Linked DNA regions of Ovis aries. The protein of the gene in region 1 purifies or fractionates together with the protein of each later gene. This does not show direct contact. Links are inferred from orthologs where the notes say so. Each region holds a gene or a part of one and is shown on either strand. Other genes may lie near its edges.

Evidence for each region.
Region 2: the proteins of RPP21 (region 1) and RPP30 purify together in Homo sapiens (co-immunoprecipitation; 3 studies listed by BioGRID and IntAct, counting the BioPlex papers as one, with this or other methods). This does not show direct contact. The link is inferred for Ovis aries from reciprocal best matches to the Homo sapiens genes RPP21 and RPP30.

The regions. Positions count from the first base shown.
Region 1 is NC_056073.1:27,568,713-27,572,479, reverse strand, and holds RPP21 (ribonuclease P protein subunit p21), read left to right. Parts: upstream 1-1,598; 5' UTR 1,599-1,651; coding exon 1,652-1,708; intron 1,709-1,778; coding exon 1,779-1,879; intron 1,880-1,974; coding exon 1,975-2,057; intron 2,058-2,853; coding exon 2,854-2,979; intron 2,980-3,121; coding exon 3,122-3,219; 3' UTR 3,220-3,261; downstream 3,262-3,767. UniProt on the Homo sapiens protein: Component of ribonuclease P, a ribonucleoprotein complex that generates mature tRNA molecules by cleaving their 5'-ends.
Region 2 is NC_056075.1:12,318,538-12,322,881, forward strand, and holds the start of RPP30 (ribonuclease P protein subunit p30), read left to right. Parts: upstream 1-1,479; 5' UTR 1,480-1,492; coding exon 1,493-1,574; intron 1,575-3,067; coding exon 3,068-3,123; intron 3,124-3,641; coding exon 3,642-3,698; intron 3,699-4,344. UniProt on the Homo sapiens protein: Component of ribonuclease P, a ribonucleoprotein complex that generates mature tRNA molecules by cleaving their 5'-ends. Also a component of the MRP ribonuclease complex, which cleaves pre-rRNA sequences.

The DNA.
Region 1 (3,767 bases):
TTTGGCCTGTGTGTATCTAGCCTGAAACTAGTGTTCATAAGAGCCGGTTTTTTGTTTGTTTGTTGCCATCGTTCACGTTTTGCCATTTCTCCTATCAGAGAATGTAAATCATTTTAATGTTAGGCCAAAATAAACAACCTATATGGTACATATGTTACAGAAAAGGTAACGCAATGCATGCCAAACCAAACTAAAATGACTGGATTATCTGCTACTGGCTAATCGGGTTCACAGAAGACTGGGACAAGAAACTGCAGTTTATTGAGGGCATTTCAGCTCCTCCTACCACCTCAACAGGACTTCGTCCAGACTCTCCTCTTACCTTTGTGCCTTGACTGTGGTTCTTTGTGGCAAGATGCTTTGGTTGGTAAAACATAATATGGAACAAAGGATCCACTGAAGTAATCCTTGTGTCCTGTGGTAATTTGACAGTAGCCTCTGTTGATGTGTTAGAAACTTAAAAATGCATGTTCCTTGGAATCTCTGGCAGTCCAGTGTCAGGACTCCACACTTTCACTGTTGGGGGCCTGGGTTTGATCCGTGGTGGGAGAACTTTAGATCCCGCAAGCCTTGTAGTTTGGCCTCAAAAAAAAAAAAAGCATATTCCTGGTGCCTGCCCTCAGTAATTGACTGAGGTCTGGAGTGGGCCTGGGCATATCTGCCTTTTAATCATACGCCTCATTTGAGTTTGGAGGCCTTTGTGAAAGTAATCTGAGAGGAAATTTCAGCCATTTCTTTCAAACTGGAGTCCTGATTGGGGCAAGGTGTGGGTGGGGGGGGGGGGTGGTTGAGAGAGGAGAGAATTCTCATGCTCTCCTGACATGACTACCCTCTCCCTGTCTCAGGGTTTATGCATATTCTGTCCCTCTACTTCTAACCTCAGGAAGGAGTGGTATTATGAAGCAGAAGCAGCAGCAGCAGGTCAAGCAGGAAAGGAGAGGCAGAGATTGAAGGGAGGGACGTGGAGTACTACAGGGGATATTTCTTCAGGGGGATGCTGTTGAAAGGTTTCTGTGCTCAGTTCCTGAGACTAGGGGTTAATGAGGATCCCCTACTGTGGCCAGCACTGCATCTGCTAAGTGGAAAAGATTGGGAGGAAGCTGTGCTTTCTAAGGGCCAGGAGCCCTCTTCCCTCCCTCCACTACCCTCATGATCCTTTCCAGCGTCACTCCCACTGGCACCAGTGCCTTTTCTAAAAAAAGGAAGACCTGCTGCTTCTGTCTGTAGGTTTTCAAGGCATCTGCCTTTGTCTTCAGGAGCATAGGGCAGAAAGTCTAGCTGGGTATAAACTGCACCTAACCATCTCCCAACCTATCTGCCTAAAAAGAAGAGTCTTCTGTCCTGACGATGTTTAGGGGTTTAAGACTCTTCTGCTCAACTAACTTCTCCAGTCTCCGCCTAATGTAATTATCGGCTTGAGAAAGACTAGGAGGAGGCCCCTGGACTCTCATTGCAGGGGCGGGGTGGATTTTCGAACAGTTGGGTCTGTGAGGCCATAGGGTGGCGCCAGAGAAAGGAAGACCAGAAAGAAAGGAGTGTGCATCGCTCCCGGAACTACAATTCCCAGGAGGTCTCGCGCGGACGCCGGGGGCGTGGCTATCCTGGGGCGGGGCCTGTGGACGGTCGCGTGTGGAGAGCTCGCGCGGCGCGGATGGCGGGGCCGGTGAAAGACCGCGAGGCCCTCCAGAGGCTCAGCTTCTTGTACCAGGTGAGTCCGCGGCGCACGCACGGCGGGGAACCCAATGTGGAGGGCCCCCAGTGACGGCTCACTTCCCCAGGCCGCCCACTGCGTCCTCGCACAGGACCCAGAGAACCAGGCGCTAGCGAGGTTTTACTGCCACACGGAGAGGACCATAGCGAAGCGGCTCGTATTACGGCGGTAAGAGAGGTTATGGAGCCTGGCAGCGGGCGGGACGGGGGAAGGACTGGAGAGGGAGAGCGGGCGTCTGGACTACCACCTGCCTCCGCCCCCAGGGACCCCTCGGTGAAGCGAACTCTCTGCCGTGGCTGCTCTTCCCTCCTCATCCCGGGTCTGACCTGCACCCAGCGGCAGAGACGTAAGTACCCTCTTGCTGAGGTGGGATGTATGAGGAACACCTGTGGGCTGGGGAGGGGACGGGCAGTGATCCCTTTCTCGAGGCAGACGCGTGCCAGGTGTGGGATTTGGAGTCGGTGGCTTTCTCTGAGTTGTTAACTCTACTTGGACAGACAGATCTGGGCAGTAGAAAAATGATGTTGCCCTGAGAGGCAGCCTCGCCCGGCCATGATAATAGATGTTATTTGACATCATAGAGGATGATTCGCATCTTCATTCGTTCACTCAAGAATTATTTTTCTGAGATGTGTCAAGGATTGCTCTAGAATCAACATTCTCATTGAAATATGGTTTCATGGGATGGACTAAGAGGAACGATTAGAATAGCCTAGAAAAATGCTTCAGTTAGGGGAGTAGAATACGAAGTTACTTAAACCAGTGGTGGTGAGGTTCTTTATAAGGGCAGGGGAGTAGGAGATGGAAATCCTTGCCATTTGTGAGGCCTCAGGAAAGAAAGCCTGTGGTGCTGTCAAGGAACTGAGAGTTCAGGAGGCAGGCTTTGAGGTGGGCAAGGGCAAGACCTGAGGTGGGAGAGGGAAGCAGGGCAGATCTTGAGTCTTGTTAAGGAGTTTGGACTTTGTCTTAAAGGGTGCCAAGAAAATGATAGACTTTGTTCAGGGACCTGACACCATCAAATTTGCGTTCAAGGTGGGGAGGGAGGAGAATCCCTACTAGAAAACAGTGGAGGCAACACTGGGTTCAGGAGACCTTTTCTTCTCCTAAACCTGGGCACTCTCTTTCTCCCACATGCATTCCAGGCTGCAAGGGTCAGCGCTGGACTGTACAGACCTGCCTGACATGCCAGCGCAGCCAGCGGTTCCTCAACGACCCGAGGCATGTGCTCTGGGGAGACCGGCCCGAGGCCCAGCTGGGGAACCAGGCAGGTGAGAGATGGTTGAGAAAATGGGGGTTAACCCAGGGAGTAGAGACAGTGGGTAACGGAGAGCTGCAGAAGACAAATGGGTGAGTTTTGGGTTGGTGTGGAAAGTGCCAGTCTTCAAAAACTAATTCTGCTCATCTACTTAGATTCCAAACCACCACAGCCCTTGCCAAACACAGCCCACCCCATTCCAGCCCAGCTTCCTGAGGAGAAAGTGCAGCCTCAGAGCTCCAGTCACCAGTGATGGACTCACTCTGTCTTCCAAATAAATTTTAATTCTGCTTAACTTTGTGTAATTCCGTTCTGTGAATGTTTCAGCTCTTTCCTCTGTTTCTGTCTGCATTTCTCTGTCACCAGTTAACCTCTTCTTTGTCCTTTTTGTCTTTTGTTGTTGTCATCCTCTTAGTCCCACCATTCAGGGAGATAGATCCCAGTTTCCACTTGGCCCTGGGAAGTAGCTCTCATTTCCAGGACCCTGCCTCCCAAGTGCCCCTCCACCCTTGCCTCCTTGGTACAGTACCATGGTTGGAACTCAGGCTCCAGGGATGTTTGCAAAGCCCTGAACCTTAAGATAGTCCATTTTTAGGTAGCTCTGACTGTTGACTAAAGGGCTGGACAGACAAACTGCTGATGCCACTGATGCTGTTTTTGTTTTATTTTGTTTAATATCTATCTATTTGGCAGCACTTGAACTCTTTAGCTGTGGCATGCAAGGCTCAGCAGTGGCATGGTTTCTTCGTGGCATGTGGGGTCTTAGTTCCCCGACCAGGGGTAGAACCTGCATCCCCTGCA
Region 2 (4,344 bases), on another chromosome or scaffold:
TGCCTAGAGAATTCCATGGACAGAGGAGCCTGGTGGGCTACAGTCCATGGAGTCTCAAAGAGTCAGACAGGATTGAGCAACTTACACTTTCACTTTCAAGAGATAGTGAAGGACAGGGGATCCTGGTGTGCTGCAGTCCATGGTGTGGCAAAGAATCGGACATGACTTAGCGACTGAACAACGATAACATGGGGCAGATCCCTCTTAAAATTCCCTTCTGAGACCAAGGGGAAAAGTCATGAGACGAATACAAGTCAAGATGTGGCCTCAGGCTAGAGATTGTCTGTGTACTATCTGTGATAAGTTAGCACAGAAATTAGAACTGTTTAGAAACTTTCACACCCATTAGGCCTTATCTGTATACCCAAGTCCCTAGCTATTGGACTCTTCTTATTCAGTCGAGTACAGAGCAATTCAGATGTTAGACCAAACTTTTGAGGCCAGATTTGTCTATTGGTCATGCAGGAGGAAACAGGAATGGGTCCTAGAACAACTGGGTGGGTGGGTGGGGAGGGCAGTAACCAGGCCCTTCATCACAGATCGTTTGAAAAAGCACTGATGTTAACTATTATTGTTGTTGTTGAGTTGTTAAGCCATGTCCAACTCTTTGTGACCCCATGGACTACAGCACGCCAGGCTTCTCTGTCCTCCAGTGTCTTGCAGCGTTTGCTCAAATTCATGCCCATTGAGTCGGTGATGCCATCCAACCACATGATGTCATCTGATGTCAACTACAGTTTCACAGTTTTATGTTCTCGGATCATTGATCAATATTTAAGAAGAGTTCACTTACACGAGTTCAAAAATGTGGAAATATCAATTGTGTGGAATTTGATTGTACATTTCTTCTTATTTTAATTACGCCCCTCTCTTGTCTAACCAGCTTTTGGCTGAACCAGTGATGGAGCTAACCTCTCATCCTAGAAAGAACCCTGCCATCTGGTGGCTGACGATATTGAGTGTAAGGAAGTAGCGCGCTGTGAACTCCCAGTTCAGACAGAGGAAAAAGACCTTTCCCCCTGGCAATCCGCTTTTAGGTCAGTTTCCCCATTTTCCGTTAAGTCCATTTTAAACAACGGAATGGCCTTTAACGGGGGAAAAAAGAACAAGTTCCCTACTACTTTTAAAGCATTTCCAGCCCTTAGCAAAAGGATTTGGTTCAAGTAGGCGCTCAATTAATGGTGTATATGTCCATTTTAAAAGAATCATTTTCTACATTATTTCCAAGGATGAAGGGTGGGAGGTGTGAACCCCCACGGCCCAACCCCAGGAGAAACCAGACATTCTCATTTGGAAGAAGACGAAGGGCTGAAGCGAGGCTGCTAATCTCCACGTGCTAACTTCTGCTGGTACTTGAAGGCAAGAAAGGAGGCGGAGACCCGCAGACTGCGGGAGGGCGGGGCTGGCCGAGCCGCTGAACTGCAGTTCCCGGCATGCCCGGGGAGGCGGGGCCCAGAGGCCGCGCCGGCGCCGGGGCTCACGTGGCTTCAGCATGGCGGCGTTTGCCGACTTGGACCTGCGGGCGGGTTCCGACCTGAAGGCGCTGCGCGGGCTCGTGGAGAACGCTGCTCACCGTGAGTCTCCCGGGCTGCGCGGGCCGCCGTGCCTGCGCTGTCTCGCTGTCCCTAGGCTGTCGAGCCATGCTCTGGAGGGACCCGGCGGGCCTAGTTCTGGTGTCCTGGGGCCTCCGGCGTGTCCTTAGAAACTGATGCCCCTGCGGTGTTACTCTGACCCGAGGCGCGGGAAACTCGAAAGCCCTGGGGAGATGTTACCCAGTCCAGCTCCTTCTGTCTTGCGAATTGAGGAAACTGAGGCCCTGACATGGCGGGGGATCTGCATGGGCCCCACAGCTGATGGATGGAAGAAGACGGGGCTCCCAAGTATACGCCTACACCAGTGCCTTTCATATCGCCCCTTCCTAAGTCTCTTGACATTGTCCTGATGCTGTCAAATGCGGGAAACTGATGCAGAGAGGGGGAGTCCTGTGGGGGCCCTGAGAATGGGGACATGTGGTTCCGAGTGTCGGAATGTTATTTACACGGAGAGTAAGTGGGGGCGGAGGACTTACTAGGAGGGTGGGAGGAGAGCAGAATGGCTAAAATGTAACTCCTGTTTGAATCCAGGGGAAACAAAAGCCGAGAGAGGTTAAGACCTTACCTTAATTATTGAAGTGAATCACAACTGCTGTCTAAGTGGGCGTAGAAGGGTTTCAAAATAGAAGAGGTTTCTTCAGGGTCTGTTAAGTAATGGACGCTCAGTAAATATTTGAGAGAGGAAGAAAAGGACCTTGGACAAACTCATGAGGGGGGAGACCACTATTTTGACCGTAATATGCGTTATCTTTTAATATTAATATCCTGTCGTCACCGTTGCTGTTTAAATAGCTTAAAGATTGGAGTCATGATTTAAACATATTTTTGAAGTCCACATGTCCAGAGCAGTGCTGTGTTGAGGCTGATAAAGCCAGGCCTTGGCTTCAGAGAGTTCTCAGTCTCTTGGTGGGTAGCTCAAAGGAGAACGTGGACATTGGTGTGAATTAGTGGTCATCCTGTTTCACCTTAGCAAAAGGGTCTCTGAAGAAGTAGAAAGGGTAAAAAGCAAAAGAAAAAACGGAAAAGTAAGAATGAAGTTGATAGTGAAAAAAGTATAAATTTGATGAGATGAAAATGAACATAGGGACACGAAAAAGAATAATGGTTGAAAGAAGATAGGCAAAGATAAAGGTCTTTGTTATCATGCTGATAATACATCACCAAAGTCAAACAAAGCCCTGTGTCTATGCTAGGCACTGTTCTAAAACATCCAGCATGTGTTATCTCATTTAATTCCCATGACAGTTGTATGAGATGAATCCTGATATCATCACCATTTGGCAGATGAACAACCTGAAACTTAAGGTTAAGTAACTTTTAAGTAGTAATGTTTAGGTTTGAGAACAGGCAAATCTGACTCCAGAATCCATACTCATAACCATTCTTCTGCCTTGTAGTCTTGACATGAATTGGTATGAGCTTATGTGTAAAAGAGGTTGTTGTATTTGACAAGAATGTTCAATTTTTCTTTTCAGTGGGCTATTCAGTTGTTGCCATCAATCATGTTGTTGAATTTAAGGAAAAGAAACAGGTAAAATAGGATTTCTGACAATAATAACCAGCATTTATAATTATTTTGTGTGTATCGGTAATGTGGAAGCTACAGATGAGCACTCTGTGCATTGTTTTATGTGTTAATAGTTGAGCTGATACATATCTGTACAAATGATAACTTTTTTGTGAAGTGCTGGGGTATGGTGTAAAGATTCTTAAAGTCGATCTGATGTTAAGTAACTTTTTAAAAAGTGCATTGTTGTTGTTTAAACTTTAATCACAATAGTTCATCTTTTTTATTTTACCGTCATGGACTCATTACTGATTGATTTCCCTTCCGAACATACTAGTAAATATGTGTATCTCTCCTTAGGCCAACAATTGTTCCTTACAGATTGTTTCATTCTAAAAAATTGTTGTTCATCCTTCCTTTCCATTGATGTTCTCAGCTCCTACTTGGCTTCAACTGTCTTTACATGGACATACACACAGCTTATCTAGTGTTTCTGCATGCTAGAAATAAGCTTTCTAAAAATTATTCTTTATTTGTTGTAGGAAATTGACAAACCAGTAGCTGTTTCTGAACTCTTTACAACTTTGCCAATTGTACAGGTAAGTGCTTTGTTTAAGAAACATAATACGTACTCAGACAGTTCAGGCGTTCCCAGTCATATGTATGGTTCTCTAACCTGCACTGCCCGTTCCTTTGTCTACCAGTCCTACCTTTCCATGAAGACTTAGTTTTTCCATGAAACATTATGTACGTCTCTTTTTCTCTAGCTATTCAGGTATACCTCAGAGATACTGTGGGTCTGGTTCCAAACTACCATGTTAAAGCAAGTCACGAATGTTTTGGTTTCCTGATTCATGTTAAGTTTATGCTTACCTTGTCGATTAAGTGTGCAGCAACCTGGAGAATCCCAGGGATGGGGGAGCCTGGTGGGCTGCCGTCTGTGGGATCGCACAGAGTCAGACACGACTGAAGCGACTTAGTAGCAGCAGCAGCAGCATTGTATCTAAAAAAACACAATGTTTATCTGAATTTTTAAATATTTTACTGCTTAAAAATGCTCACCATTATCTAAGTCTTCAGTAAGTTATGATCTTTTTGCCAGTGGAGGGTCTTACATTGATGCTGAAGGCTGGTGACTGATCAGGGTGGTGGTTGCTAAAGGCTGGGGTGGCTGTGGCAATTTCTTGAAATAAGACGATGAATTTGCTGCATGAACTTGCTTACTTTCAGTACAATTTCTCTGTA